Linked DNA regions of Daphnia pulex. The protein of the gene in region 2 binds, or shares a complex with, the protein of the main gene of each other region. Links are inferred from orthologs where the notes say so. Each region holds a gene or a part of one and is shown on either strand. Other genes may lie near its edges.

Region 1 (15,167 bases), on a different chromosome or scaffold from region 2:
GTCAAATCAGCCTCCCTAAATAAAAATAATTGCATGAACATTAGTAAAATCGTGTTACGTATTGAACTTACGCTGGGGTGCTTGTTGAAACGTATTGGATAAGGCACTGAACTGCAGAAGTCTGAACATTTCCAAAAGGAGAATCGAATAAGGTCAACACCTTATCCAAAAAACCTTGGGCAGATAAAATAATCTTGCCCTGTGGTAGCATATTTCCCAGGGCTGAATGAGGCAAATTTAAAATAAGTGGAATGCATAATTAACTTCAACGGGAATCAAAGAAAATACCCCAACAACAAGCTTCTTGTAAAGAAGAATTTCCACTTCCCAGCAAAGTTATCAAGTAAGCGCCAGTTACGGAAGCAACCTGACTAACAATTTTAGTTTCATCCTCCCACACTGCAGCGTTAGCAACGCAATAAGCCGCTTCTAATTGTAAAGTCGAATCACCACCTATTGAAATAACATTCTTAAATATGAACTGGATATGAACAAACAAAAACAAAAAATTTCTATACCTGTTAAAAATGTGCATAAGCTTGGAATAGAACCATCAATGCCACAGAAAATAATTGCATTTTGTTCGCACTCTGCTAATGCTTGACTCAGATCGGCGAGAAATTCTCTGTTGACACCCTTCCTCTTTCTCAAATTAGCAGCCATAGAATGGAGATTTACAGGTGAATAGGTACGTGGCTGCAATTGTTCGAGGCCACTTCGTTGGACTGTTGTTACCTTGTAACGTTTTTCTTTCCGTAATCTATTGAACTCTTGACGATTCTCATCTCGAATATTTTGTACAGTATTCTTCGATTCAGCTTCAGAACTCATTTTGTTTTGTATATATTTTTATACAAGTAATCTAGTTCAAGACATCTATGATTTTCTTCTTCAAACTCAACAGCACCTAAGATAATTTGTAATCAAACATTAGGAGTTCAGAAGATTTGTATGAAATACTTACGAATAGTATTGCCAAATATTTTCCACTCTTCTTTATAAAAACTCAATTTTCCTTGAACATGCAAAGTATCGCCTATAGTGTAGTCACCTTTTTCTTTCTCCAGTAAAGTAAGTAAAGTTTCTAAACCTTCATCTTCTTGATTAGAAATTAGCTGTGCAAACAGGAAAATTCTAAATTTCAAGAGGTCAATGTTTAGCATTAATATTCTTGTATTTACCATAATAGATGAATCATTTTTAAGAGATAGTCTTAGTTCTTCAATGTTATCAAGTTCAGCCGACTTTTTTCCAGAATGACAGGATATGACACCAGAACCATCATCCACTAAAAAAAATGAAATCTTGGTTACACAAATTTTAAAAACCATATAAAAAGATTGGTTACATACAAACATAAATATCAGCTTTTTCGTAAGATAACTTATCAATGACAGTTCCTAAAATGTCAACATAGGCGATGACTTTTTTTCCGAATATCGCCGTTTTCGTATCGGAATGATTTTGTTTTAGACTTTTGATGGTACCAATCCACAGTTTTAGGTGATAACTTTCATGTAATGACGTTGATTGTTCGAATTTTGGTTTAGTTTCGTGAGATTTGATATCCCAAGTTTCTTTATTTTCCGACTGGTCCATTCGAAATCGTCTACAAGACTAGTCTGTTACAACGTTGTCACCTGTAATTTTCTTAGTATGTGTCAAACCATGAATTCAGATTCATTTATTGATTCCTTAATATTAAATAGTTTAGTGGATTAATTTTTTTTATTTTAAAGTTAAATTCTTCGCTGTTATTACTGTTGTTTGGGAATCCATTGTGTTTTATTACTATGTGTGTGTGTGTGTGTGGTGGGGGGGGGGGGGGTAGAGAGCCGGGGATGGGGCAAAATAGTCTAATCAAAATAGCGTCATACTCGAATCGAAATTTATTAAAAAAAATTTAAGTAAAAATATTTTCACAAGTAACTTTCACATCAACAAATCTACCTCCGCAAAACTGAAGAATAACTACATTAAATCTACATTATTCATAAAATTGCCTTAAAAGGTAGTTGTACCTGTAGTTGCTTCAAGCACTGAGCATTTGAACCTAATAGAAAAACGTACGTGTTGCCGTCTCTGCACCGCTTGTACAAAAGTACAGTTATGTCGAAGAAATTTGGTTACATTGGATCCCTTGGTTAAATGGGCCTTCAAGATTTCACAACAGTGTGGTTTCACGTGTCGTTCGCTAACTGTATTTTCAAAACAGGGAAAATGGTAATAATAAAAATGCCCTTTTTTACACGTGATGCATAATGACCTAGCACGTGAAACGTTTTTATTCCGACATGAAGCGTAAATGCTGAGTACCGAGGAGTTGAAATAAAGACAGTCATCAGTGGAGGAAGAATCCGTCCGTATATTGAGGATGCGAGAGTAAGAAAGGTTTGATTTGTTGGGAGTGAAACTCCAGGAAAGTAGGTGTTATAAGATCAACTTAAAATACGCGGTTTATGGTGACGAACTTGTAGGGTCTCGGTTGAAAAGGTCTTCTAACGGAGGGACCTGTGCATTCTCCACTTCTTGAGATTTTGGCTGTACATAGCTCCGGCTGCAAAATTTCGAGTTTCGGCTTGGGTAGTCCGTCTGGAACGGACAATTGCAGCTCATCAACGCACGGCATCTGGATGACATTGAAATAGAGATTGCCGATCATCCGCGACACTGGAGTCGGAAGTGCCTTCAAGCAGCTAAAGAATTCGTCGTCGCAGGCGCAATGAGATCTTGAACAAATAAAAAAATGTTTGATTGTGAAATTTCATACAAAATTTTATTTAAAAAATTTCCATTACTTGGTATAAAATGATAGATTCATCAAGCCATGCGCGCTGGCGAAACCCTTCACTTTAATCGGGCAGTGGTCGTGTGCCCGACAGCACTTGTCCACTTCGATTAGAGCACCTAGGTCATCGTAAGACTGGGCAACGTCTCCTGGACCACACCATTTCGTTCCTGCACAAAATAATAGCAAGTAATAGCAAATAAAAAATGTATCTTTCAAATAATCTGTGAGAAAGCTGCATCTGTTCTTTCAAAACACATTGAGTTAAGAAAGCATAGCCTAAAATATTAGTCATCACAAAGCTTTCTCTCTCTTTCGTCACCTTCCGCAGCAAAAAAAGAAAAGCAGTTGGTGATGCGGGCTATGCCCATTTCATAATGCATTTCATTTCTAATACGTGCTCACAATGATAACGTTTACACACGTACCTGGAACAATAGTCGTGACAAACGTTGTCCACGAATTAGATGACGTCGAGTTCTCTGACCTCATTGATCTAGATGTCCATCCCCTTCCGTTCATCTCTATAGGTCCCCTTAGATACTGACATTGTTTAATGAGGTTGACCATGGTATGGGTGTCTGTCATAAAAATTATATAAATTTTACAAAATATAACGATTATAAAACCAAATTATAAAGCCATTTACCAACTGGGTAAATTGGCATGTAGACCGAAAGATTTTTCAGCACTTCTACAGCTTGGTAGTGATAGCTGTTAAAAAATGGGAGAGAAAAAACAAAACATTGAATTGCGCTTTTCAAAAAAAAATAAGTTTTAATTAAGTTATTTTCCTATAGCAATATCATGTATAAACAGCTTGGCATCGTATGAAGAAAAAACCCTTCAATGACGTTCTTCCTGTGAAATTTCTTTAATATATACAGAAATCCGCTAACGGGTTGCCACCTGGCATCGCATGGCGTACTGAAAGGTGTAAGGGGGCAACGGATCCTCGACTACTAACGTAGTATAAGATTAAAAACTCCCGGACAATAGATTCATGGGACGGGTTCTCTTAAGAATGGATACATTTCCGGAGAAAGTTTTCGTTTCTCTTCTCATCCCTCAGGGTGTGTGTAGTTGGATGCAGGTAGTAAAAAAATCAGAATAACCTTCGTTTCAGACTTTCAATACAACGCATTAAAATAAAAGAATTTTAATTTTACACAAAAGAATTATCCTTACGATTGTGAATGAAAGTTAAGCAACAAACAAATGAACTGCGAAAATATCAGTCTCGAAATGGTGTTATGAGAGCAAAAAGGAAAACTAAGTTTCCAATTTTCTCAAATCACCTCTTTTTGTTATATAATACGAAAACGAAATCTTACTTGACTTCCATTAACTTGCAGCTATTCACGTTCTTGTTAACGTAGGTAATAATGGCTACTGTTTCCTCGTCGTGGAAAGCAACGCTGGAAGTTGTGTTGGCTGTTTCAGGGTTCGACTGGATGTTGTTGAGATTCTCCAAGATAATACGGTTCTTGTCAGCATGTTTTTGTTGAGACGAAGGGCGATCGAAAAATTTTCTCAATAGGCGATTCCAGCCAGACGGCGAAGATGATCCGGAACTGTTGTTACCATTGCGTTCCAAGTTGCTGACGGCTTGAACGGTGGCATTGTTGCTGGTGTCATTGACCAACGACTCGGCACTGCTTGTAGAATTTAGAGCTACAGCACTCTCATCGGATGATTGACATTCGCATGGCACAAGGTGGTAGGATAACACGGTTACGGTGAAGACCGCAACAAGCCAAAATCGGACCGACATTGCACGAACTCGTTTCGCCAAAGTTCGTACAGTACGGGTAACGCGATTTTCGTGACAAGTAGTTTAAAATGTAGCTCTTAACAATGAAACTTAAATAGCAAATATGACAACAGAAAAATCACAGATTGGAGAAAGCGGACCACCTATAAGGTGTAGATGGACAGCAAACAGTGCGCGCGGAGGCGCAAGCCAACACACGGAAAGAAACTAACCCACCACTATCCACCAACTCGCTAACAATCCACACAGATCCAAACCAAGTCACGGTTCGAGACGATATGATACCTTCAAAAGAGTTCTCTCTCCCGAAAGAGAGTTCTGTACCGTTAAATCCAGTCTTCAGTCAGTCGGCGACGGCGAAAATCGAAGCGGCTGTTCTCCTTCTCCACGGAAACCTAACGGGTGACTCAGTCAAGTAGAAACAAAGACGACTATGACGGCATTTGGAATAGATAAAATACAAAACACAATTAACCTAACCACAAATTCGAACAGAGAAGAAGAAATTCATCCTTTTGTTGTTTTTTAAATAATCATAAAATAACACTGCATTAGGAAAAGATTCAAATAAAAGAAAATGAAACAGGTAACTTAAATCACCTTGAAGAATAGCTGCCGCACCGTTATTCTGTCGTTGCCGGTTATACCAAGGGCTCCATACACTGGTTTTCCCACTAAAAAAAGGGAACACCAATTGCGGTCATCGCCAGAAGGCATCCCGGTGGCCCAGTTAAGGAGGCCAGCACTGCCAGCAGCAAAGGCAAATGTTCGATAACCCTCCCCCCAAAAGGAAGCTTCATGGAAGTACGCATGCATGCATTTATAAATTGGTCGTAGTCATAACGCGTTAAAAACAAGACAACAAAGGTGTTGCTAGGCCCGCAATTAACTCCATAATTGCCGTATTCATACTAAACGCCTTTCAGAGATTGTTTCCACAATAGCGTGTATTAAGACAAAAAAAGGGAGAAGAATACGACAACTTACGCATCCTTCTTTATTTTCTTGATTTGCGTGTCTGAGGTCGTGGACGATAGGGGTTGAATGGACCATTTCGCGGTCAGTTCTTTCCCAGTAGACGTACTTTTCTTCAATGCTTTTTCTTCCTTTTCGTGGAACTTGCGTTTGTTTTCCAAACGCTTAGCTTCGCGTTCACGGCTCTTACGATTCTTCATCATGGAGCGATACAATCGTTTGTCTTTGTTGCGAATCATAAGTTCACGGAATTTGTAGTGTTCTTTTTCCTCTTCGTCCATACCCTTGATGTCAGGCATTTCAACGCGACCTCTCATTACCTTCATGCCTTTTTTCTGCGAGAAACATCGTTGTAAAAATACATTTAATTGCTTTTTCAGAAACATCGTTAAAAAACAAACTCGTCATTACCTCCTTAACGACTTGAGACTTTGTGGTTTCATTCTTTTTCGGTTTGCTATCTTCTTCTTCTTCACTGCTATCATCCTCACTCTCCTCCTCCTCTTCTTCTTCCTCTTCCTCTTCAGCTAGTAATCACAAGGCATTAATTTAGCAAGCTTAATCAGTACGAAAGGACAAGTAAAAGCATACCTGGAAGGGTTTCGCCGCGCTCTAGAGCCAGGAGTACCTGTCGCTCAGGAGGAATGTAGTCACCAAGACGCTCAGTAACAAAGGGCGAGATATGCGGTGGCAGATTAGCACCAATGAAATAGTCTTCCACCGGAAGTAATCGACGGAAGTTGATGCAGTCAAACAACCATTGGGGTTGGATGTAATAACTGTCGTGAAGAAAAGCGGTTAGATGCGCAGTACTGACACAAATAAAAACCAAGCAATAATTACCGAGAAAGATATTGTTTTTCGACGGAAGGTCTGTCGATAATTTGATGTGTAATGCTTTCATCTGTCTCATCATATGTGGCGCCCGCAAATATGGAGGAATCCCACGAAGCTTCACCATCGCACGCTCGGATCACGAAAACAACCGATTCACGTGGAACTTCGCGACTAATGAAAAACTTTAAACCTTTGAAAAGATACTTCATTCGCTCAATTGCTTCCGCCTCACGCTTTGCTTCATCAAGTTTATCCTGTCCATCAGCCTATTGAATAAATGCTAGTTTTAGAACAAAAACAATAATTATTAAAAAGATTATTATTTTTTTTACCGATGGAAATTCGTCTATTTGAAGTTCTTCCTCTGCTTCGGGTACGTTTGCAACAAGACTCGTATTCAAAGCTGCTACCAGTTCGTTGTACTCTTCAGTAGCATCTTCATCCGCGGCATTTTCGTTAACTACAAATTATTTTTGTAAGTTTATTTAATTAATGAAGAAATATAAACAATATTACTATTAATTCCCGGAAGTTTCGGCGGATACTGAAGATTAATGGAGTGGTAGAGTCGGAAGTTTATGAATCCAAGCATTGAAGTATAAAAATCGACGAAATTTGTCATGATCCTATAATCAACATCCGATGCTGTTGTGGGCTAAAGAAATTGAAGAGATTAGAATGACACTCAAATTATTTGGTAGATAGACATTACCTTGAACCCTCTTAGATGGTTAATAAGAATTGTCACAGGCTGTCCTTTAATTTCTACTTGGTAGTAAATGCCTTTAACTGAAATAAAGACTTTGCGCAAAGCTTTGGCAGCAATAACATAATGTAAAAACTCAACGGTGAGCCTGCGACAAAGTGAAATCAGATTCGCCGGAACTTTGGTGTCTCGCGGTAGAGTCGAATAGAAAAAACAGAGGGTCAAACAATCATCCAGATCATTGAGTGCATCAAGAAATGAAGGGTATCTAAGAAGATAAATTAATCAATAGACAGTGAACATTTTATTATCTATTACCATTTCTTACCTTTCTTTTACCAAATGGTCTAACTTCATGCTAGGCTTGTTATCTTTCAGCCTTGCTACAGTTTCTTTATCACCTTTCTCCATCGCAGTCTTCATCTTCCTCATGAAGATTTTGAAGTCCCTGAACTTCCATATCAGAGGTTCGTGGCTCAAAAATCTGATATCTTTCACATAATACAGGGTCTTCTTGTCAAGCTTTCCCTTCTGGGCTTTCTTTCTGTTGTTGGGTTCACGTGGGTATACACCCTTCAAGATGCAAAGGCGCCGAAAGTCTTTCAAGTTTAGTTGCAGCTTTTTCAAGGCTTGAGCTCTTGTTATATATTTGGTAGCTTCACCTGCTTCGTACTAATTAAAGGATAATTAGTTTTCATCACGTTCTATTTCTCTTTGCTAAGGCATGACACGTCACATGTGCATATTTTAGACAGTGGCAGACAACATGAAAGATACAACACTACATCTATAATATGAACTCTTTTGGCAACAAACCTTTTTCTTCATACGGGCTCCCATTTTTTATGCTTGTTATATGCTATTTCAATTAAACGGATCAAAAGAACATACGCTCGATCGTATTGCGTATTTAAGCGACCACGTGCACCGAAAAGCCAAACTTTATGACAAGCAGACGACGGTATCGGACTATCGGTAGTTGACAATTCTAGTTCAAAAAGGCCGAGAAAACATTTCAACGTTTCCGATAAAACATCAATAAAATTGGGATTTTATAAATTTATCATTCTATAAAATTATTTTCGACATAAATTTACTAAATGTGGTCATTATAAAATAAAATCTTATAAGATTTTAATTGAAAAGCAAGTTATATTAATTATTCAATAGATGGCACTCATGGCAGTATGGATTTGACAGATAGTGAAACTGTGAAATATCTTGGGCGACTTGGCCTCTAATATTGATATTTGCTTTGAAAAAGATGAAAAGAAAAAGTTATCAACATTCGTAATTTCGTATTTCGTATTTATCACTTATCAGTGACGCAAGGTTTGTTAGCCAAATAAAACAGATTGCCAAGCCTAGAACATTGTCTATTCAAAGAAAATCGTTTCTTAGGCAGAGGCTGTTGAAACTTGAAACTGCTTGAAAGCTAAAGGCATATACTAATTACTGGACATGTAGGTATTATATGTAATGATACATTATTGTATACTGTAGTTTTCAAATACTACATAACAATCTATTTGCCCTATGTTGTATTAACCAAATGTTTGTTTTGATTAATATAGGGGATTGCATAATGTGAATCAATCATTCATTTTTCTGTGGCTACTTTTTATGATCTCAGTTCATTTACCAAACACAAAGTAAGTAAACAATTGATTGGTTTGCAATTGAATTGTTTATTCTAGGACATGGGCATAATGAATATTGAATATCGACTTGGTCCAGATGTGTCTTGTGTCATGCAGTATTAACTTGACCAAAATTATATTAAACATGGCAATCATTCATAATTATATTGCTTTATTTACTTACAGTGCTGCAGAGTATGTTATAAAAACATCATGGAATAACATGACAATTGATTCTTCTGATCAAGTCATAATAAATTTGGAGAAACATGATTCTAAGTCATTCAAAATTGTTGTTCAAGCTCCTTTCTACGATGACCCTCCTCCAAACACACCTGGTGATGTAGGTGAACCAAAATGGGGGCTTTGGGATTATGAATGTATGTACTCTACTAACTTTTGTCTATTAATTTTCTGAAAGTGTAAAGTATTATTTTCATTTAATTGATCTAGTGGTAAAAATTTTCTTCTTGAACGATCTACACCAGTATATTGAAATTCAGCTGGGAGCGTAAGTACATTTTTACACGGTTGAGCAATGGCTAGTTTAGTTTGCTACTAGATTAATGGAAGTTCAAATTTTTAATCAGGTGGGGCCATCACTTTGTATTACTCTTGAATGGGTATCGACACACGATTCGTTTCGGAATGTTGATAAATTACAAGGCATACAGGAGTGGCAAACGATGGAACGGAACTGCCATTATTCCTTTAACCTACCTGCCTGTGAACGCTTCCAAATTGAACGTCTTTTCATATCATGGTTCAAGAGATAAGCGTGTCGTAAACGCACTTTATCCTGTTGAAAACATTGCTACTGCTGAACTAGACGAGTAAGTACTACTTCATACATGAGCTGCTTACCTTTAATGTTATTATTAACTTAATTACTTTTTAGTCATAAATTGACATCGTTCCAACCCTTCGATAGCACTGTTTTATTTACTGAAAATTTTGAAGCGATGTCGTCGGTTTGGACGGATGCGCTACAAGGGTACTTTAATCGAAATGCTGATATTTTTAATCCTAAATTTTGCAACACCACTGATGTTTTTTGTTAAAGGATTCGCAGTTTTCAAATCGCTACTTCATGGAAGGGAAAAGAACTTCTTTCCAATGAAACCGTCGACTTACATGTACAACTTGATGCATCACGTACCAATTTGATTCTAAATGTTAGCGCACCCTTTTACAATGATCCAGCTCCAGAAAAAACCAATGGAGGGCCATTTGCAGATTTATATAAATACGAAGTAGTCCATCTTTATTTACTTGGTTATCCGGATTTGAAATATCTGGAAATCGAACTTGGACCGTATGTTTTCGTTATCAAATCACTAAGCGAGCCAATTCTATCTGTTTTAACATTACTTTTTCAACTTGCAGGTGGGGACATTATCTTGTCGTTTTCTGGAATGGCTATTACAACAAAGTTGGAAGTTTGGATTCCCCATTGAAATATTCATTTAATCGTTTCGGAAGTCATTGGAATGGATCTGCCACTATTCCTTTGACGTATCTACCACCCAGAGTACGTAGTAAACAACCAACATCAACCAATTTAGGATTAATAACTTTGATTTGAATAGGTATACTTAATGAATGCGCATTCTACTCACGGCGTTGATGAAGAACGTCAGTGGAACAGTTTGTACCCTGTACCGGAAGGTAGCAATCAGTCGTCACCGGATTAGTAAGAAGCTTTTTCATTTTCGTATCCGATTCGATGCACACGATTAATATCAACCTTCAAATATTTGCAGTCATAACTTGAAGAATTACAAATTCGTCGATCTTACCGAATTATATCCCGAAAACGACGACACAAAATGCTCGCAAACCTGGCAAGCCTTAAATGTATGTCCAAATTCAGCTGTTCAATCGCAAACTGGTGTGATAAGCTTAGTTATTTTAAACGCTATTTTGGTGCTCCTGTTAAATATGTGATAAATTATGTAGTTTCAAGAAATCTTTAAGAAAATAATATGGTGAATAAATTTAGTCAATGTTAAAGCAATGGAACTGTTAATAAGCATCTAAATTGGGCAATTGCCTTTTTTTTTCCCTGTAGTAAAAAATTAAAACACATTTTTACCCACTGTTCCTTAAAAATATTCTGCATCGGTAATTGAAATCTTATTAAAACAACCTGTGCACTTCAATAATTCGATGGAATATTAGCAACACACGTACATAGTGTTGAAATGATAATGAGTAAAGGAATCCACTTACAAGAATATTTCGCTTGGTTGGGAAGAACAACATACAATATTATCAAAATACTTTAAGAATCAAAATCAGGTTTGACGTTTGCGGCAGCTGGATTCATATCCTGGAAATAGTGAGATCCATTCTCGGCAGCCAATTTACGCTGAGAAAGCGATAATTTATTCGGATTCCCCAAAAGAGTGGCGAACGGTTTCTTGTTTCTAGGCACAGGGTGCCTGACGGGAGTTGTCTTCATTTCTGTCGAATGCACAGGCACCGTCGGCGATATCTTGTTAGTCAACAAAGGATTGACTGGTGATGCGTTCATCTGCACTGGACGTGTCTTCAACGGCGAAATCTCAGCAGTGAGACTATCATTCACAGAGAGAATGGAATCGTTTTCATCCTCAGAAAGATAAACCACATTCGGTGACGACACAGCGGGTTTGGCGAAATAAGGTGAGCTGGAGACGGCCATAGGGGTGAACGATTGCGACTCTTCTTGAGTAGATGAAAGTAACTGTTGCTGACTGGCAACCAAAGCAGCAGCGTCTTCTGCTACAAAGTTATCGGCAAATTCCTTCAACGAGTTTAACATGGGCGGAAAGCAGTGGAAGTGACGAATAGAAGACCGGACCCATTTGGATAATTGGTTCACGTATCGTGGCGTTTTTGCAAAACGATCATCCACTAGGAGAATAGCTCCCCAATCGGCTTTGTGTCTGATACAGCGTCCTAGTGCTTGATTCAATGCCCTATTTCACAAACAAACAAACAAACAAAAAACCTGTACTATTTGATGGAAAAGTAATGGATAGACCGAAAGATAATTTGAAAAGAAAAACTAACCTGAAGGCTTGGATCTCGTACCACTCACTTCCGTTGAGTAACGGTGTAGAGGCGGACAATTTGTCATTGTATTGGCGTTTCAATTCGACTTGAGTATCTTTGAAATTTGGGAAAGGGATTCCCACACAAATGACGGCCCGGGCATTGTTATCGGTGAAGTCAAGTCCTTCGCTGACTTTGCCTCGACATACGGCCAACATCAGAGCGCCGCTGGGTACGTCACCAGTTTTTTTGCTCGGGCATTCAGACCCATCACCCGAGCCGTCCAAGTCTAAGCAACTCAGAGCACTAATAAAAAAAACACAATTTTTATTCATTGAAATATGGAGAAAGAAAGTAGGCTGGTTTACTTTACGCTGTCTTCGATGGCCGAGTAAAAACTCTTGAGCGTTTCCTCAAAGTCGCGTGAATCTCGCGACTCGCAAACGATGGTTTTGTAATTGGAAAGGTGTTGCCATAGACCCGTGTCCTGCCATCGAGTGACAAGCTTCTCCAATAGACTGTAAGAGGGCAGGAAGCATAAAACACCGTGCGGAATCGTCTGGCAGACGGACAAAGCCAACCGGCCGAGTTCATCCTTGAGTGAAAAGAGTTGGACGGTCAGAAACGTCAACTGCCGTTGCGTAAACCACACCATCGCGGGTACAACATCGGAGAATAGAAAATAAAGAGGAGATTTACCTGATATTCAAAAGTCCCGGTCACCTTGAATGTCCCGTTGAGCAGAGTGTTCCTAGGCCCCTGCGAGATGGTCCCTATCCACACACGTTTGGCTGGAATGACATGATTGGCCTCCAGAGTGAGCTTGAAATCGATATCGAGTTCCGACTGATAGGAGGCCAAGGGTGACAGCGTGCCCGATGTGACGATGATAGATCGCGTACTCTCTTTGATTTCATGCATCACGACAGCCGAATTGAGACACCATAAATTGAGGGCGTATGTCCACTGCGAGGCGATGTTGGCTTTCCTGAAAAGTCCATTTCCAACAAAATAATTGATTGCAAAGTGAGGCATTTTACAACGTCTCCTGGCATTGACTCACCCGAAAAATGACGATCCAGGTCCTTTTTTCTGTTTCCTCTCGACAGTGCGAACGACTACGGCCCGGTAGTCGTCGCGGTGAATTTGATTACCGTTCAACATCAAATCCATAATCATGAGGAATCCTTCGAGGAGAGTTTGAGTGGCACCCGACAATTGTGGATCCTGGCTGCCCTCTTTGTCATTCCAATCCGACTCGAGTTGCTCGTTGAAGATATAATCGATTATCGCCTTGAGTTCGACCAGCATTTCGGGACCGTAGCCGTCGACGCTCAAATTGGCTACAAATTCCGTGCCGGTCATCACGTGAACTTCCCGGTCGAAGCCGACACTCTTCATGTTCGTGGCGTGTTTGCCGATCCATTGCATCATGTAAGACGAGAATTTGGCCAGTCTATTGATTTCTTTTTCCATCGTCGGGTGCCGATTACCGATCTACTCAAGACACAGAACGGAAACAATAGGGGGATGGCCCATCAAGCATTCAATTTTTAAGACTTGTTTACTTTCTCGCAGTCATTGAGAGCCAAGCGAAAATCCTCTTGTGACCAAGAACCTCCAGCTGATTCGCGCGCTGTGAATGTATTAAGTACATAAGCATTAATGCTTAATACATAAGAATTAATGCTTAATACCAGAATCCTCGATGTTATGAGCCTCGTCGAGAATGATGATATTGTCATTAATTGGGATCTTCATCGACTGACGTACCCTCGGATCAATCAGGTAATTGTAAGGGCTAAAGACGATCTGCGCTTGCTCCGACAAGTCGCGCGAAGCGTAATATGGGCAAACCCGAATGCGACGGCCTAAACTCACCAAATCTTCGATATCCTAAACATCAAACAAAATAATCCCCCGCAAAAAAGGAAAAAATCATTTTCATTTGAATCACCCACAATAATAAATTAAAAATTGACTTACCCAACCACTGACCAGTCCATAGTTACGAATTTGAGCTTGCGTCTTGAGCTTGTCTTTGCCTTGCCAACGGTATGAACAACCACCCTGTACAGAGTTGAGGAAAAAAAAAAGAGAAAAATGGACTCATTAAAGTTCCAGTGTGAGTGGACAACTTGTCAGGAATGTCCGCCAAGAACAATTCGACCAGTGTTCCATCGCACAGTTCAATGAAATGAGACTAGAAAAATTGTGGGAAGCATGAACTGAGTCAACAACAATGGTCACTTTGTCATAGGGACGAAAAAAAAAACCTTTCGGAGAAATGAGCGGATCGTCTCGAAAGATACGGAGAATAATTGTCATCATAATGAAAAAAAAACAGGACAAAATGTTTGGCTCACATTACAAAGCGCTGTCGAATCAAAAAAATGAAATAAACCGAAAAATAGGGGGAAAAAGAAGGTGGAGAGAAATATCTAAATACGAAGAAAAAAGTTGCAGGGGGGTTATAATACGAATGCCGCTTTTGCGGTGATTACTACGGTTGGATAATGGATTGAAAGATAGGATTCATTACGAGAAAACGAGACCGCCTTCAAAGAGGCAAAAGAATCAACCCACCAACCATTCCCCTCGTTTTCTTCTCCTTTTTTTCTTATTGAATGAATGAAAAGAAGAAATACTAGAAATGAAATTTTTTTCATGAAAATAAAATAAAAAAAGGGGGAAGTAAAAATTTGATCTTGAAAGCGTATCATGTCTCAACGTCGGCGTCTTGAATAACCGGATGGTTTCATGGCTCCTCCTTCTTCACTGTCTTCTAATGACGGGCAATTAAACTTGAAACCAGTCATTTTCATTTTTTTTTTTTTTTTTGTTATCCCCCCACCCAAGTTCTTTGATCTCATTTGATCGTATTTGACGCTCGGGCGATCACGATCGTTCTTTAAATGGCAAAACAAGTTGAATGCGTGATTCTCTTGGCTGGCAGGTAACAGGTTGATGGCGAACAGTTGTTACCGAGGAGGACGAGATCAATTCTCGGAAATCATTAGATAGATACAAAAGAGGTATACTACACTTTTACGGTGTAGCTTGTTCGATTTCCCTTTTTCGCTGGAATCGGGGTGGGGAAGAAGGTCGCGCAACGAGAGACGAGGAAATTAATTACGCGCTTTTACCTTCTGCTGCGGATCCTGTTTGGCCAATCGTCGGTCATTTAGTATTTTGCAACCTTCGTTTTTGTTGGCGGAACGCGACACTTCTGGATGGATGCAGGTGTGTTCCCTGCTGGCCAGCACGCCCATCCTGTAAAATTTCGATCGACAAAGCCAAAGTCGAATGGAATGATAAGAGAAGAAGAAAAATATCTGTCTCAAGTCTTAAGATTTAAGAAGGAAATTCAAATGAAGGTAAGCTGGGAGAGGGAATAAATAATAGCTG
Region 2 (15,414 bases):
GGCTAGAGAAAGGTTCAAGTATTTATTTCTCGTGTTGGCCCGTATTAGATCCCGAACAGTGACCGTATGTCAACCTTTTTTATATAACTGAAAAACTGCATTGGGCATTGAACTAGAGGAACTACTACCACATATAGACATAGGGTGGGGTGTTGTATATACAAAAGAGTGTCACGTGACATGCACTCTCTTTTATTATACATTGAGCCAAGTCTCTTTTACCACAATACTCCTCTTATGTGTGTGTATGGTGGGGGGGGGGGAGGAAGGAAGGAGGAGGAGGATTTTTGGGGCGCGACAGATGGCGGCCACTACACATCGATGAAAGACCCATTCAATCTACATCAGCGGTGGAAGATCCGCGCTAATCAATTCACCGTCAAAAATGGCGTTGGCTGAAAAACCGGGGCCGGCGGTTCATCAGACAGCCGACATTTATTACATCCAAGGGCCAGCCAACATGGAAGATGATCAATAAGGTCGTCGCCAATAGAAAACAAAAGGATCATGCAGCAGCATCCCCAATGGACCAGATGTTTGTTACTCGTTCGAGGGTGTGTTAAGAGGGAATTGATTGAAACTTTTTTCCCCCCTATACTCTTTCAACTTGAAAAATAAAAGACTCGGGGGAGACAGAGTCTATGACTTTTTCCCTCGTTTAAACACACACAATAAACCGCGTGCGGTCTCTCATAGACAAGGGAAAAAAAAAACGATAAAAGTATCCGGTTGCACTCGACTATAGCGACAGCTTATTTGATACAAAAACAAATTGTGTTGAAAGAAAAACGAAGCAGGTGGGTACTATTTTAAAAAAAGATAAATTAAATCAATTGAATTTGGCGCCAAAAACGAAATTCAATTGAATAGTATTGAGGTTTCCGGTGAATGTTACCACAAAGAGGCTGATGGTTGAGGATTGAGAAAAAGCTTTTCCTTGCACAGCAGCAGAGAAAACGCACCTGCACGGTCGAGCGAGCAAATCAGTCTTCTTCCTTCCTTCCTGCGGATGGAAAAAAGATAGAAAATGGCCCAGTTGCTGTGTGATGCCGTACCGCAAGAGGATAGGAGGCAATAAGCTTATATACGGTGTGTGTGTGTGTGTGTGCGGAGGCAGATGCAATAACCGAGTGAAGCCGAGCGGATAATATCCTCCACATCAATCGACTGAGAAAGACACAGAGTGAGGAAGAAAGGGAGGGGAACAAAAAAAAAGGAGATCACCATCACAAACAAACCACATAGAGAGAGAGAGAACCTATCGTGATATTATTATTATTTCACCTCTTGTGTGTGTGTGTGATGGAAAAGCGGCGGCTCAGGTCTTCCTTTCGGGGAGAGATGGATGGCATTATATTTAGACTGAGAACAGCCTCACATGCTGCCCGTTTCTCACACATATGGGTGGTCGCACCCAACAGCACACCCAACTTCCATCATCCAGCCTCCGCCACAGCATCTGACTGTTATTATCCTAAGCTTCAGCGCCGTCTCATTTTACAGACAATCCAGTTGACCGAAAAAATAGAAAATAAAAAGAAATCACGTAAAGCATAAGTAATATGGTGGAAAAATAATAATAACTAAAGAATCGTTGGCTGTAATTACCTGCTACGGGATGAGAATCAAATGTTTGTTGTTTTTTTTTAATGAGGGACATCTAGCGGAAAAATATTTTACTGCATAAAATATTTATTTGGCGCGCATCTTTTAAAATAAATATACAGCACGTTTGACTTGCTCATCATTTAACAAGGAATATGTCCATTATATAGAATACACACAAGGCTATTTAAAATTTTAAAAATTATGAAAGCTTGGACTCACAGCCAGATCAAAGAAGTAGAGATTTCGTCGACGTCGATTTCTTGAATGGCCGCACGACAGATTTCAATCAAAGATTTAACTTGATATTTTTCCGCCAATTTCAATAGGGACTGGGAGTTGGCTGATACTTTGAGCTCTCCCGTGTACAAGAAGAAGAGAAATTCTTTGAAGGCGTCAGGATTTACGCCATCATCGATTCGAACTTTTCCCGTGACAGATTCGACCGTTGAGGTATTGAACAGCTCCGTGAATACCGGACTCCTTGAAGAGATAATGACTCGATGTACTTTGAAAATTTTTTTCCCAACTTGAAGCTCGGCGTCGGTCAGGATGGCCAAAAGGAACATGTTCCAGTAGTCAACAGAGCGGAGACTGTCCATCAGTTGGTATCGAAAATTTTCGAGATTTTCTCTGATGAGGATGTCGAATTTGAAAGAACTTGGTGCTACGAGATCGTAGAGTTCCCGGCCAAAGATGTATAAGGCTTTTTCACCTCGTCGCTCCATCCGGCAATATTCGGCGCCGTCAATGTAACTCTCAACATGGGATATGGATGTGCCTGTTTTCTCCAGGTGAGAACAGGCCAGGTAAAGGAAATGCTGTGGGGATAAGAGAGTTGAGTGCTTGGTGGATGGATGATCGGCCAGTCCCGCCCGGAACGCTCCATCGTTGCGGAAATTCAATTGATCTGAAGTGAACAGCTTATCGTCTTGCGGCAATTCTTCCACCCGCCAAACGCATTCGATGACTGTATAGTACTTTTGGAAAAACAATTGAGCTTTGGTCTTCTCTCTATAAATAGACAAAATAAATAAAATGAAGGAGTAAATAAGACTTTGAGTTTATCTTACTTGAGCTGAGGTTTCTTGGGGCAAATTTCAAAGTCTGGTTTCATGGCCATGGCGAATGATGTGAGTTGATTAGCATCGATATCTTGAACTGCCAACTGGCAAAGGGATTTCAACGTGCTCAACTTGTAACGTTCTGCCAATTTAAGGAGTTCTTCGTTAACACTTCGGTGGTTGTTGACCTGAAAGACGCCAGTATAGAGAAATCGAAGAAACATTTCAAAAACAAGGGGTTCTGTGTGATCGATCTTGATTTGACTGCCAACAATCAGCGATTCAATTGAACCAAACAATGTTGGACTTCGAGCTGCCAGAATGGCCCGATGTGCCGAAAAAATGTGGTTTTGGACTGAAAATTCAATGTCAGTCCAGAGTTTGTTCTTGGCAGTCAACCACAACTGATCTGTAAATAGAATATCTGACAATTGGTAACGATAGTTTTCCAATGTTTCGATAACGTGGACGCCGAACGTGAATGTCTCTTGCTTCTGCCATTCACAATCAATTATTTCTTTTACGAATAACTGAAGGTGATCCAGCTCATTCTCACAAAGGTTCATGTGTGCATCTAGGTCAGGTTTTCCTTTGATCTTGACAGATACTTTCGCCACTTTATAGCCAATCTTGTGCAAATTGGTACAAATGAAATACAACCTTGTCTTTGTGTCTTGACCACCAACTTTTTTCAGGGCAAATCGAAAAGCTTTCAATCCCAGAAACTCAGCCATTTCGGTCATGATTGAGCACCGTTCAGTCAAATCTTTAAATTTCCACTGGTACATCAGAACCCTTCCAGATTCGTGACATTCTCCCTCCATTTTAATTGCAAAATGTTAAATAACGACAGAAATAAGGCGTTGAACTCTGAAAAGAACAATCGAAATAAAAATAGAATGGATTCACTTTCTAAAATTGAAATTTGTAGATTTAAGATCTCCGCTACTCTCAAGTCACGACTCAGCCAGACTCAGCTGTCAAGAGAATTATGCAATTATGTTTTCTGACTTTTCTCCTTAAAAAAACAAATGAATAGAGCATAATTTAACCGCGAAAGAAAATTTGCAACATTGCAAGTTTCTTTAAAAAACAAGTGCTAGTGGAACAAATTTGTTATTCACAAACATCCGTTTTGAATTATAATAACACAGACATCTGATAACCAAAAATGCGTCTCTGAAAAAAAAGAATAGTGTCGGTGTGACTTAGATCGTCGTAATGCGTTGCAAATGTGAAAAATTTTTCAAACGACATATTTGTGAAAGCATGTACGCAACGCCAAGTTCATTCACATTGCAACCTTCAATGTTTGCAAACCCCATGAAAACCTGTACGTTTTTGCTCTTGGCAGATTGCCAACTTTTACTTTGCAAGAAATTTGCAAATGACATAACAACCGTGTCCCTGAAAAAAGCGGATTCGCGCTTCACATAATGTAGGAAAACCATCAGAAGAATGTCAAATACAAAGTTAAGCATGCTGGCTACGTGAGCTCACATTTATTCGACCCTCAATTTTTGCATACCGTTAGCACAAGTCGGCGCCGCGTATTTTAGTTTTTGGCAGTCGGCCGATGTTTACCAGTCTTGAACCTGAAACGAAAAATTCGGGAGTCGCTGCAGTTAAGAATAGGATTCACTTTTTCCTTTCTTTTTAATTATGTCCTCATTTTCTCACCAGTTTACACTGCTTCGTATAGGATAACTCCAGTGCTAAGAATTTTTCGTGGTATTTTCTACAACCACTTTTTAGCATCACATTTACATGTAATTTTAGGTCACTTGAGATCTTTCAACTCTCGAAATTTCTATCAGATTTCTACTTTTGATTTTTGGTCTCAAAATAGACGTAGGCCACATTTATCATTATATACGTAAGAATTACGATAAAGACGACTTTGTTTACTACAGGTTTGCCTTTTTACCCTTGGCCGCCTTGACCAGTTAAAAAAAGGTTCCCGTTTTCAACTTTTATTTGACAGGATAGCAACGCTGTGACGCCTAGTAACGCTATAACTTGGTAACCAACTTACTCGTTATAAGGGTTTCGTCTGCGGCCGTGGGTGGTTTCAAGGCCACAAACGTTCTGTTTTTTTCTCTCTCGAGGCCGTATATAATTTCCGCAAAGCCGATTTCCGCGGTTAATTCGGCCGGCGACTTCCTCTAACTTGGGCTGGTACTTAAACACTCTAGGTGAAAAAATTTCCAGTCTTTAGATTTCATTGGGTTTTAACAAATTTATTTTCAAGATGGGGTACCTGTATTTCCAGTTATTTCGTCACGTGCTAGTTACACATATCAGTGTGAAACATGTCCTTTTTTATACTAGTGAAAGCGTCTGTTTTTGCGCGTTGTGTCCATTTCATTTCAAGATATTTAATGTTTGATTCTCATGTTTAGGCAATGATTGTTCAAGTTTCCACTGTACGCACAGCCTACAGATGGACCACTGGGGTAAGTTAACTTCTGAAATTTTATCAAACATACCGTTCAATTCCAATTTTGTGTCTTAGTTTGCAAGACTGCGATCTGAAGGATGGCCCCCACAGTTGACTGCAACTCTTATGGCAATAATTGGAATCGGAATGTCTTCCTTCAGTGCTGCACAGATGTCTGCAGTGCCAGCTTCACCCAACAAAAAATACTTCCCGAGAGGACCATGGAATTGAAACTAGACCACTTATAAAATTTAATTATGACAATGAACAATGATCGACCTTTCTTGGTGCCATGGGTTTTCAATCATACAATATCATGTATCGCTTATTTATAAGTGCTGCACAATAACCAAACTGATGTTTCCATTATTGAACGAATACAATTGTTAGTCTTCTTATTTTATCAATTGTAAAATTTAATAAATGAAACAAATGTCAAACAAACATGTTTCAGTTGTGTAATAATCGTGTGCCACTTGGAGTTCAGTGCGTTACGTGTACAATCGAATCGTAGCATCTGCTCCACTGGTAAACAACCATGGTTGTGTAGGGTGGAAGAGAACATCGAAAACACCGAAATCATCAAATTTGGCATGCCCACGCAGTTTCTTCAACGGGACAATTGTTGGGTTCTTCAACAAATCGCTATAAATTTAGAAAAATAAAAGTAATGAGAAGTTCAACAAACAAATTAAGTAATCAAGATGTCTTACTTGTAGACCATTCCATGTGAAACAATGGCAGAGCAATCGTCCGATCCAGAAGCGAAGAGAGGGTATCGTTTGTGATAGGCCACTGCACGAATACCTTGACCATGATGACGCAGAGCTTGATAAGGTTTAGTTGATAAATCCAAGTCGAACCAGCAAAGACGACGATCGTGAGTTCCTACGAGGATGTTGTCTCCACCTGTTACAAGTAGATGGATGAAAATTAGACTGCAAATAGTTGTTGGGAAGTTTGAACTTTACCTGGATGAACTGCAATCGAAGAAATCCATTTGGCTCCTGTCATTAATTTTTTGGTAAGTTCTTGTTTCAAAAGATTGTATACTCGAACGTGACGTTGTGTCTGCCAAAAAATCTCAAATTAAGCTTCAGTTAACGTGAAATTTAACAAACAAAATATTACCGCAACAAATAGATAAGGTCTAAGGGGATGGAACAGAGTGCACTGCACAAGTCCCTTGGATTTGCTAAAAGGCAACTGTGATCTGCGTCGAGAAAGTTGATGGATCAGCACGGATCGATTGTCACCTTCCGGCATGACCGACGAGAAGTAGTCGCCCTTTGAATGCCAGGCTACGTGTTTCACTGCCTTGAAGTGAGTAAGAGTAACACGGAATCCACTATCCCATTGAGCCTTATCAGGCTCGTTCCACGTCAAAACAGCACGAACTCGTTGAGGAACTGAAAAAAGAAGTAGTACGACATTTAAAAATGAACTGGAGCAGAAATAAAAATGAGCTTACTAAGATAATCTGTTTGCGCAGGCATTTCCTTGAGAATCTCATCTGTTTTGGCTTGGACAAGTCGATCTCCTACACCAGGGTTGATTAAATAGACGTTATTATCAACCGCAGCAGCCACCAGAGCAATAGACGAGTTCGGGCACCAAGAAACGCAACGGACAGTTCCTTTAACTTCAAAAGTCTTGAAACAGCGGCCAGTTGCAATCTCCCATACTGTGAAATAAAAATTGAAAATGGATGAAATGTTACCAAAAAATCATTTTATCAACTTACCCTTAAGTGTTTGATCATCGGAACCAGAAATAAAGAACTGGCCTGAAGGATCGTGACTAATAGTACGAACAAGTCCTTTGTGGCCCTTGAAAATCATAGAGCAGACCGTTGGGAACGGTTGGAGATCCCTTGGCTTAGGCAATTGCGGTACAAGATCTTCCGGTTGGATTGTCAAACGCATCTTCTTGGCACGAGGGCACAAATAAAGATCCAAGCAACGAACGAATCGCTCGCGAGCGAATCTGTCATAAGCTGGCACTGCTCTCAGCGAGCTAAACCGTTGGGGAATAAATGGGAACTTGCGCTGGTACGGAGTTTCGGCTAAGCGATTCCATTGATTGATTTCCCTTTCAGAAAAGGCGTACTCTGGAGGGGGATTGTAGGACTCGGCATGCCCCGGAAGTCGAGGTTTCGGAGCAGGGATAGGATTTTCAATACGACGAACATCCTCCGACTTGTCATCGGCATTCCAAAGCAAATAATACTTGTGCCGTTCAACGGATGTGTCTTTAGCCACACGAGGTTTCATCCAACCCATCTTGATAGCGTGCACCATTCGACCAACTAGAAAGTGTAAAAAAGGATTAGTCTAACTTGGAAACACGTTGATAACAAATCCACTAGCAGTCACCTTTAATAGCTTCAACTCTTGAGGGAATAAAAGATCTTTTATGTTCAGGTCTACCAGTAACAGGTGTTTCCATGACTTCGTTAGTGAACCAATCAACCCATGGTTCATAAGGGTTATAGCTTCCATCAGGTATTCTACTACCCATGACATTTTTGATGAGATCCACATCCTCATTACTCAAGATAACATCCTGGCCTGTCTGTGGATCATAAACTGTCCGCCTGTTGCAATATCAAAATAATTTAGTCAACAATCAAAGGGACAGTGCTGTGAAAAGTGTTTACCATGACTCTGGATTCTCCATTTTCCTCAAGAAATTGTCAATTTCATCTCCTCGTTTGGGTTTGAGAATTGCTTTTCCTTCCAAATCATAACCAATATGAGGATAGTCATTATACCAGTTCATTGGAATGTTTCCCACAGTGTTTCTCAAATCCTGAAGATAAAATGTTGTTTCAGAAACCAATATAGCACATTTTTAAAACAAACATACTTCCTCATCAGAAGAATCATATGCATATTCATCCTCTACAGGAGGAGCTGGCAGTTGGGCAGTAGACGTAGAGGGTCCATCTTGTGCGATGGGTACAGCAGTGGGTACCACTTTATTCTCCGCTGTGTCATCCTCACTATCCTCGTTGGTACTCATATTGTGTACTTCATCTCCCTCTTCTTCATCCTCATCACTACCTTCTTCCCAATCAGAATTATCTTCTTCGTCATCACTATCATCTTCCTCGTCATCTTCTAAACCGGAGTATTCACTAGATTCCTCGTCGGTGCTGTCATCGGCATTGTCGGAAACTTGTGCCTCAATTATGTCGTCCTAGAAACATGTAAAATACATGTCAAATACACAGAAAAAGAGGTAATTCATTTCCTAATCCAATTTCGGTGATTTCTACTTACCACTTCAGCGGAATTTTCATTGTTTTCAACAATTTCGAGGCGACGTTTAGATGATTTCGAAGCAGTCGCCATCTTCACCTTACGCACGTGTGTACTAGAGAAAGCGTTGCCAGATTTATTTTTATCATCCCTCTCGCGTATAAAAATGCCAACTAATCAATCGATACCTAAGAATATTTTTTTCTTTATATCATATGTCTTTTACTCTTTATTTTCAGCAGCATAGATGTAAACAATCGAATGTGATTTTTTTTAAATCGGCAACACTTAAATTGGCAGGGGTAAACATTCGATAAAAATTATAACGGGAACATTATTAAACCATAACGACGACCTGTGTAAATGAACGGATTACTTGAAGGCTACTCAGGTTAATTGTGCAAAATTACAAATAAAACGGATGTAAAATTATATATTCTTTCCAATAGATTGTATTGGCGAGTCCATCAGTTTTGGCAGGTTTCCATTGTACCATTTGTTGAACGGTGATGGTTTTCGGCCAAGTGGGCATGAATTAGGTTGCCATCGGTGGTACGGAAATCGCACAGTTCACACTGAAGCAGAATTTGATTAGGACGATTTTCCATCCCCACGACATCCGGTCCCGTTTCATCCATTTGATCCATCAGTGGCTTCTGCTGATTTGCCTTTTTGCCCTTGGCGTTGACGATACTCCTCTCCGATTTGACTACGGGATTCTGACTAAAACAAACTCAACATCAAACGTCATTTCTATTTTTGGGGGTTTCATCATCGGGTAGGTAATAATGTGTTGTATAACCCGTATTTGAATCAATTCAGTTTAAATAAATGACCTACCTCAGGGTGCCAAATTCCTCCACCAAAATAATAGAAAATCACACTTGTTGTGTAACTTTTGTTTTTGGCAGGGTTAATAATTGAAAAGACGTAGACAAGGCAATGAAATCTTTTGGCAGTGAAGCCGAAACAATTCTTGTCAAGGGAAACCCAAGCGACACACATAAAAGGACATGTTGAAAAAACCCCAGAATGACAAAATCCCATCAACGAAAAGAAGGAAAATGAAGCTCTTTGGCGTGTCCCAACAAAAATATTGCGGGAAGATTTGAAAAGTGCGCGAAACAAAAAAGTCGACCAGGGATCATAAAGAAATCCAAAAACAATCAGATACGACGAATAATGAATCGAAAAAAAAAACGGGATTTGTATTCTGTTATCTGTGTGTGTGAAAACGATTTTTGTACATTTTAAAAAGTGAGGAGGGGTAGGCAAAAAAATCGGGAGGATATCAAAGATCTTTTTTTTAGTCAATCGAGAAAAATTTTCAACATTGAAAAACTTCTTTATTAATTGAATTTTTTTTACAACTGCATAAGAAAATGAGGGAGAAAAAAAAATGAGATTATTAACTTTTTTTTTAATCTGTTGTTTATCTATCAAAATGATGGTGATATTTTATTTGAAAGGGCTATAAAGCAATTTGTTTTTCTGCTCGGAGCTAATAACAATTTGGCTCGCACTACAAAGAATTGTTTTACTAATTCCGAGTGCTAGATATTATTCTTTTTTGTCTTTTGCAAATTAGTTTCTCTATCGTAACTTTCGTCAGAATAGTTCTATTAATCACACACACACACTCTCACACAGACAACCACACACACACACATTCAGGAGGGGGGCGCATGGGGAAACAAAAAAGCGAAACAAATGACAGGTAAAATCTCTCAACACCCGAAATTCAAAAGAGTTAAATCGATCCGTCAATTCCCAACACGTCACAACATGGTTTGGATTTGGTGAAGGTGGTGGGGAGATTTTTAAAGCTGGCAAAAAAATATTATAGTATAGTTAAGCGGCCGTGTGTTTGGTTTTTTTTCTTTTTAAAAAAACAAATTCCCCGTAATTGTGATTATTTCAATTGCCTCTAGTCAAACATTTTTTCCCTGTACGGAATTGATGGATCGGATTCGAACCCCCAGTGATAATATAAGCCAACCGAAAAAATGTACAAAATAGGAAAAAGGGAGAAATGAAGATTATCCCCGAAAACAAATTCGAAAGCTCCCGCATTTGTAAACTCTACAGATGATTTTTATGGCGCCCACCTGTGTGTGTGTGTGTGTCAAACACCTGCACAATATTCTTTTGTATAAAAAGAAACACAACAACCCCACTATACACACACACACACACTCGACAAAATAGTACCAATCGTTGGCTGTAAAACACGTCAAACCCGCGTGCAAGGCCATCATTTTGGGTGAGTCAATTACCCACAAAAATAAACCAAATATTAAGGGGGGGGGGGGGAAATAAGGTGTGCGGCGGGATGAAGAAGAGAAATAAGCGAAACAAACTTTGGCTTCAATTCAAACAAAAATATGGATGGCTGTTTGTCTCCCTCCCTTTACCCAAAGTATCAATTTTTGGTGGGATCCATTGCGCTCGGCGCCCAGGATGATTTGCATGTGATGTGAATGAAAATGTGTGTGTGTGTGTCGTGTGTATATTTGGCGAAATGTTTGTGAAGAAGAAAAGAAAAACGCGAGGGACTTGTTTTTATTCCGGGCCATTCTACTTACTGATGTTCACGCATGTGTTGGCTGAGGGCGTCCTGGTCGTCTGCTAAAAAGTTGCACTTGCCGCAAATTCGCTTATTGTGAACTTTGTGGACGTGAGTGGCCAGCCGTTCGGAGCGGGCCGCTTTGTAGTCGCACAGGACGCAGAGGTAGGGTTTGATGTGGGTGTTGAGATGGCGTTTGAGGCACCAATTGTCCACTCCTCGCCAGGCGCAATAGGTGCAGGCGTACAACTTTTCCTTCTTCTTCTTCTCGCCACCGCCAGACGCCTGAGACGACTGACCCGACGTCGAACTGTTTTGCTGCTGCTGCTGACTCGTCGGTGTGGCGATGGTGTGAGTCGGTCGGACTAAGGCTTCCACTCCGAGTGTTGTGTAACTTTTATAGGCTTGCGTAGGTGTGGGCTGACTGGGGAAGGCCGGCAACCCCAAATGGGATTGATAGGCCGCTACAACTGTCGCAGGAGGACGCTGGACCGCCACTTGCTGTTGTTGTTGTTGCTGCTGCTGCTGTTGTTGCTGCTGCTGCTGTTGTTGATTGTTTTGACTGGCCACCGATTGGCTACTTTGCTGCTGTTGTTGTTGTTGTTGCTGTTGTACCGCCACGGTTGTGTAAAAAGGGACTTGAGTAGGAGGAACAGTTGCGGCAACAACAACGTGAGCAGCTGGTGCTTTGGCGGCGGCTGCCGTTGCGTGATGTCCACCGTGATGACCATCACCTCCCGCAGCTTTCTTAATCTTTTGTAAATCGTACGCCGTATCCCTGCAACAAACGAAATAAAAAAATTCCGGAATGAATAAAAAGGAAAATTTAAACTAAAAATCTAAAAACTAGTTTTGCTCCAATAGAGAGAGAGAGAGATCCATATAAATTGTATCGGGAATAACTGGAATGAAATAATCAAACGTGGAAAGTAAAAAACAAATTTCAAAAAGTCTGGGGTTTTGTTTTTGTTTTGCAGAGATGGATACCTATGCATGCGACTAAAGTGTTTTTTGCAGTGATCGGCCCGGTTAAACTGCTTGTCACAAATGAAGCACTGGAAGGGCTTCTCTTCACTATGAATGGTCTCGTGCCGCGTGTATAGGTCCCTCCGATCGGTGGCGTACGGACAATAAGGACATGAGTACCGTTTGTCTCCTCCGCCGCCCGCTCCGTTGCCTGGCGACGGCATTTCGTCCTTGCTCTCGACGCGGTTCTTGAGCGCCAATAGGTATTTGGTCACCTCCTCCAGCACGGGATTCTCGCGCCACAGCGAACTGTCCGGGTTCTGTTCGTTGTGCTGGCGGGCCAGGTGCATCCGGATGCAGCGAGCCCACGCCGAATTGTAGTGGCAACGCGGGCACTGGAACACACGCAGGTTGGCGTGCGCTCCTAGCCAATGCTCGGCGATGCGGGCCAGGAAACCCACGCAGCCGCAATCCAGGCATCGAAACAGCTGGAAACATAAATTGAAAAATTCCAAACATTATTATTTAAAAAAAAAATTGGAACACACGATTGATCGTTATCTGATTAGGTCATGGAATTTGTTTTTCCCTTCAAATTCCTGCGCTAAAAGAATTGACGGGGGATATAATGCGATTAGATTTTTAGGGAGGAGTAGTTCACCTTGTGAGTTGCATTGTAAGAAGCCACTTTTGACGAGTTCCATGGTAGTAGGTCATCGCTCTCCACCCATGTGGATTCGACGGGTTTGCCGCTGGCTCCGGCCGCGTTGCTGTTGTTTTGAGCGGCGGCGGCGGCGGCTGCTGCAGCAGCTGCGGCCGCTGCCGCCGCTGCAGCCGCCGCTTTTTTTAACTTGACGCTCATTTTGGGTTTCTTTGGCGGCGATGGATGGTGTCCGCCCGTATTGACGTGCGGAGCCGCTTCCATCGTCACTTGCAACACGGGACCGCCTGTCGTCTGAACAATCAACGTGGGTCCCGCTGAAGCTCCTTGACCCGTCGTCTGATAATGGCCATCTTTGCCAACCTGAAGAAATATAATCACCATTAAAAATTGAGGAAATAAAAATGTAATTAATTTAAGTTTAATTACCGCTTGATAGTCTAGATCCATCATACCCAATTCCCCCTGTGAATTGGCTTGTCCTTGCTGTTGTTGCTGGCCTCCTCCACCGGCAACAGTTCCGTTCTGGTCGGTTCCTTGTTGAACGATGCCTCCAGGCACTAGTGCTCCTTCACCGTAGAATTTCTTGGCTATTTCGTGAAACATGTCTTCGTAGCAATCCATCGGTACAACGGGTACGGGCGCTCCATCCATCGTCTTGGCCTGGACTTGAACGGAAGCCGTTGGAGCACGGGCTCCGCCACTGGGCGGAGGTGCGCCAGTTCCAGTGCCGGTAGCCGGCGTTCCGGCAACACCACCACCACTGCCGGCCTGGGCCGGGACGAAACAAGCCGCTGCCGGTTTCTGTTCCGATGTCAGGTAACTCAGGTATAGAGGAAAGGCCATCTACGAATGAAAACACACGTCAACTATTTTTGGGTTGTCCCGATTGATGATGATGACCAACCGGACTGTCACATAACAAAACACAAAATCGGGTCAAGTGTGCGCAGACGCTAAAAACGTTCCACATCCGCCATAATCAATGAAGCGCACACACTAAACACAACATGTTAAAAAGTCTCCACCCTCCGGCCGGCAGCGGGAGGCCATAAGGTCACGGCACCAAAATGAAAAATTCAGCCCAATAATTCCGTCTCCATATCAAACAAAATGACGCAATCGGGGATAACACGAAATTTTGTTCACGATAAAAAAGACAAAATCTTTGGCACGGGTGTTTCACCCACCCCCACTGTGGACGTGGGTGGTACACAATAAGATGGAAAAACCACTCAAACTTCTTGCGTTTTATTTTCTTCTTCTCACTTGGACACAAGAGGGAGTTGTCTCTCCCCTATAACCACCCCACCAACTTTCGTGAACGTGTTGGTCGTCGGCCGAAATCCTCCTCCGAACCACACACACAACACACAGAGACGCTGCTGGGTGGAGGAGGGAGAATATAAGAGAGAGAAGAGGGGGAGAGAGTGAGGGGGAGAAAAGACTCTTGTCTTCTCTCTCTCGCCTTCTCCCAACGCCCGGAGAAGAGAGGGGGTCTGTCTGTCTGTGTACGGGCACCAGCTCCACTCTCAGAAATGGCCGACCAACACACACACACACACAGCACAGAAAGAGAAGGGAAAAGATATTGAAGCCCTCCCACTTCTCCACAACTATACAGTGGCCGATCTAGCAGAAATGGCGGCCGAGAGAACGTCCTACACTCGACAGAGATCCAAATTTACATCGTCGGATCTAATCAATTTCATCATTTCATTACGAAACGCACGCTGATTCACTGCATCCAATCTTACTGATTTCTCTACCAACTCGAATTAATTTGCAATATCCGCTGAGAGCCCCCCCCCCCCCACAAACAAAGTAATTCGCTCGACAACAGGTGGATTAGTTACACAAAGTTTAACTGCGATTAGATTAAACATGATCTGGTGGAAAATTCGATTTTTAGGTCAAGGAATAATCGATTAAACTGGTTTTGGCGTCATTAAAATGCGATCGAAACACAAACAACAAACATTTGCCATCAGCAGCCCCAACCTAGCCGCCATGAGAAAATAGTCGTGGCTGTGGGTATACCTCCATCATGTGTATACGTGTGGGGTGTGTACGGCTGGGGGGACGCCATTGAAAGGGCTTCTTTCCCTTCTCGACATTCGAGCAAGAATGAGAAGTGGGAATGACCAAATTGTACACACACACAACACACACACACCATCTACAGCACTTCCATAACTAGCAGATGATCATCACGATCAGTAAACAAATACCGCGTGAACAATTCGTGTCTCGTGTGATTGTGTGTTGGTGACAAATTAGCAGAGAAACACACGAGACGGAAAGAATCTGTTTTCTTCTTATTTTCCTTACCTCGGGTCTGTACATTGAATATGCTTCGACGTTGTGACGCAGTTGACAATTTCAGCATTCAACACTGAATTGGAATTGTTGGTTGGACACACGCCGTGATGGTTAATAGGTTGTCGAGGAATTTCGTGAAAAATTTCAAAACAAAACAAGAAAAAGAGTTGGGTGGAATCGGTGGAAAAAAAAAATAAAACGCGGGATCGAAAAAACACACACACAGCACCAATTTGGTGGCGGGAAGAACGGGTGGCTTTTTTTCCTCCTCCTTCCCCCCTCTCTCCAACTCGAACTAACTCGGCTCCCACCACCACCACCCTCCCGTTCCTCTTTTATTTTTTCGAAACCCCGGAAACTCCCAATGGATAACAAAAAAAGGGAGAGTCGAAGCCTCCTTCTTCTTATTCGTTCTCCCAACTCGCCCACCCACTAGCGCCATCACACAGCCCACTGCGAACTATACAATTCCACCCAACCCCACACGCGTTCAACGAATGAATAGTTTAAACCCGACTACTATTTTA

Evidence for each region.
Region 1: ribosome biogenesis protein BOP1 homolog (region 2) and pescadillo homolog share a complex: the UniProt entries of both Homo sapiens proteins name them as parts of the peBoW complex. The link is inferred for Daphnia pulex from reciprocal best matches to the Homo sapiens genes BOP1 and PES1.

The regions. Positions count from the first base shown.
Region 1 is NC_060028.1:9,966,826-9,981,992, reverse strand, and holds pescadillo homolog, read right to left. Parts: upstream 8,065-15,167; 5' UTR 7,921-8,064; coding exon 7,897-7,920; intron 7,753-7,896; coding exon 7,409-7,752; intron 7,349-7,408; coding exon 7,087-7,348; intron 7,030-7,086; coding exon 6,891-7,029; intron 6,835-6,890; coding exon 6,707-6,834; intron 6,641-6,706; coding exon 6,381-6,640; intron 6,317-6,380; coding exon 6,129-6,316; intron 6,065-6,128; coding exon 5,949-6,064; intron 5,873-5,948; coding exon 5,546-5,872; 3' UTR 5,492-5,545; downstream 1-5,491. Other genes in the region: uncharacterized protein LOC124209778, read right to left, coding at 1-15, 72-222, 289-453, 519-831; uncharacterized protein LOC124209777, read right to left, coding at 2,444-2,729, 2,799-2,958, 3,217-3,369, 3,438-3,502, 4,123-4,562; uncharacterized protein LOC124208492, read left to right, coding at 8,542-8,543, 8,655-8,732, 8,907-9,100, 9,174-9,231, 9,311-9,553, 9,619-9,714, 9,784-10,035, 10,107-10,251 and 2 more; Fanconi anemia group J protein homolog, read right to left, coding at 11,005-11,683, 11,778-12,065, 12,128-12,354, 12,459-12,747, 12,823-13,256, 13,328-13,395, 13,457-13,655, 13,746-13,829 and 1 more. UniProt on the Homo sapiens protein: Component of the PeBoW complex, which is required for maturation of 28S and 5.8S ribosomal RNAs and formation of the 60S ribosome.
Region 2 is NC_060021.1:9,839,217-9,854,630, reverse strand, and holds ribosome biogenesis protein BOP1 homolog, read right to left. Parts: upstream 8,551-15,414; 5' UTR 8,466-8,550; coding exon 8,394-8,465; intron 8,311-8,393; coding exon 7,978-8,310; intron 7,921-7,977; coding exon 7,769-7,920; intron 7,706-7,768; coding exon 7,485-7,705; intron 7,418-7,484; coding exon 6,854-7,417; intron 6,794-6,853; coding exon 6,581-6,793; intron 6,519-6,580; coding exon 6,241-6,518; intron 6,181-6,240; coding exon 6,081-6,180; intron 6,019-6,080; coding exon 5,823-6,018; intron 5,755-5,822; coding exon 5,601-5,754; 3' UTR 5,554-5,600; downstream 1-5,553. Other genes in the region: uncharacterized protein LOC124194447, read right to left, coding at 1,824-2,619, 2,679-3,493; protein charlatan-like, read right to left, coding at 8,840-9,095, 10,958-11,716, 11,926-12,392, 12,566-12,928, 12,995-13,411. UniProt on the Homo sapiens protein: Component of the PeBoW complex, which is required for maturation of 28S and 5.8S ribosomal RNAs and formation of the 60S ribosome.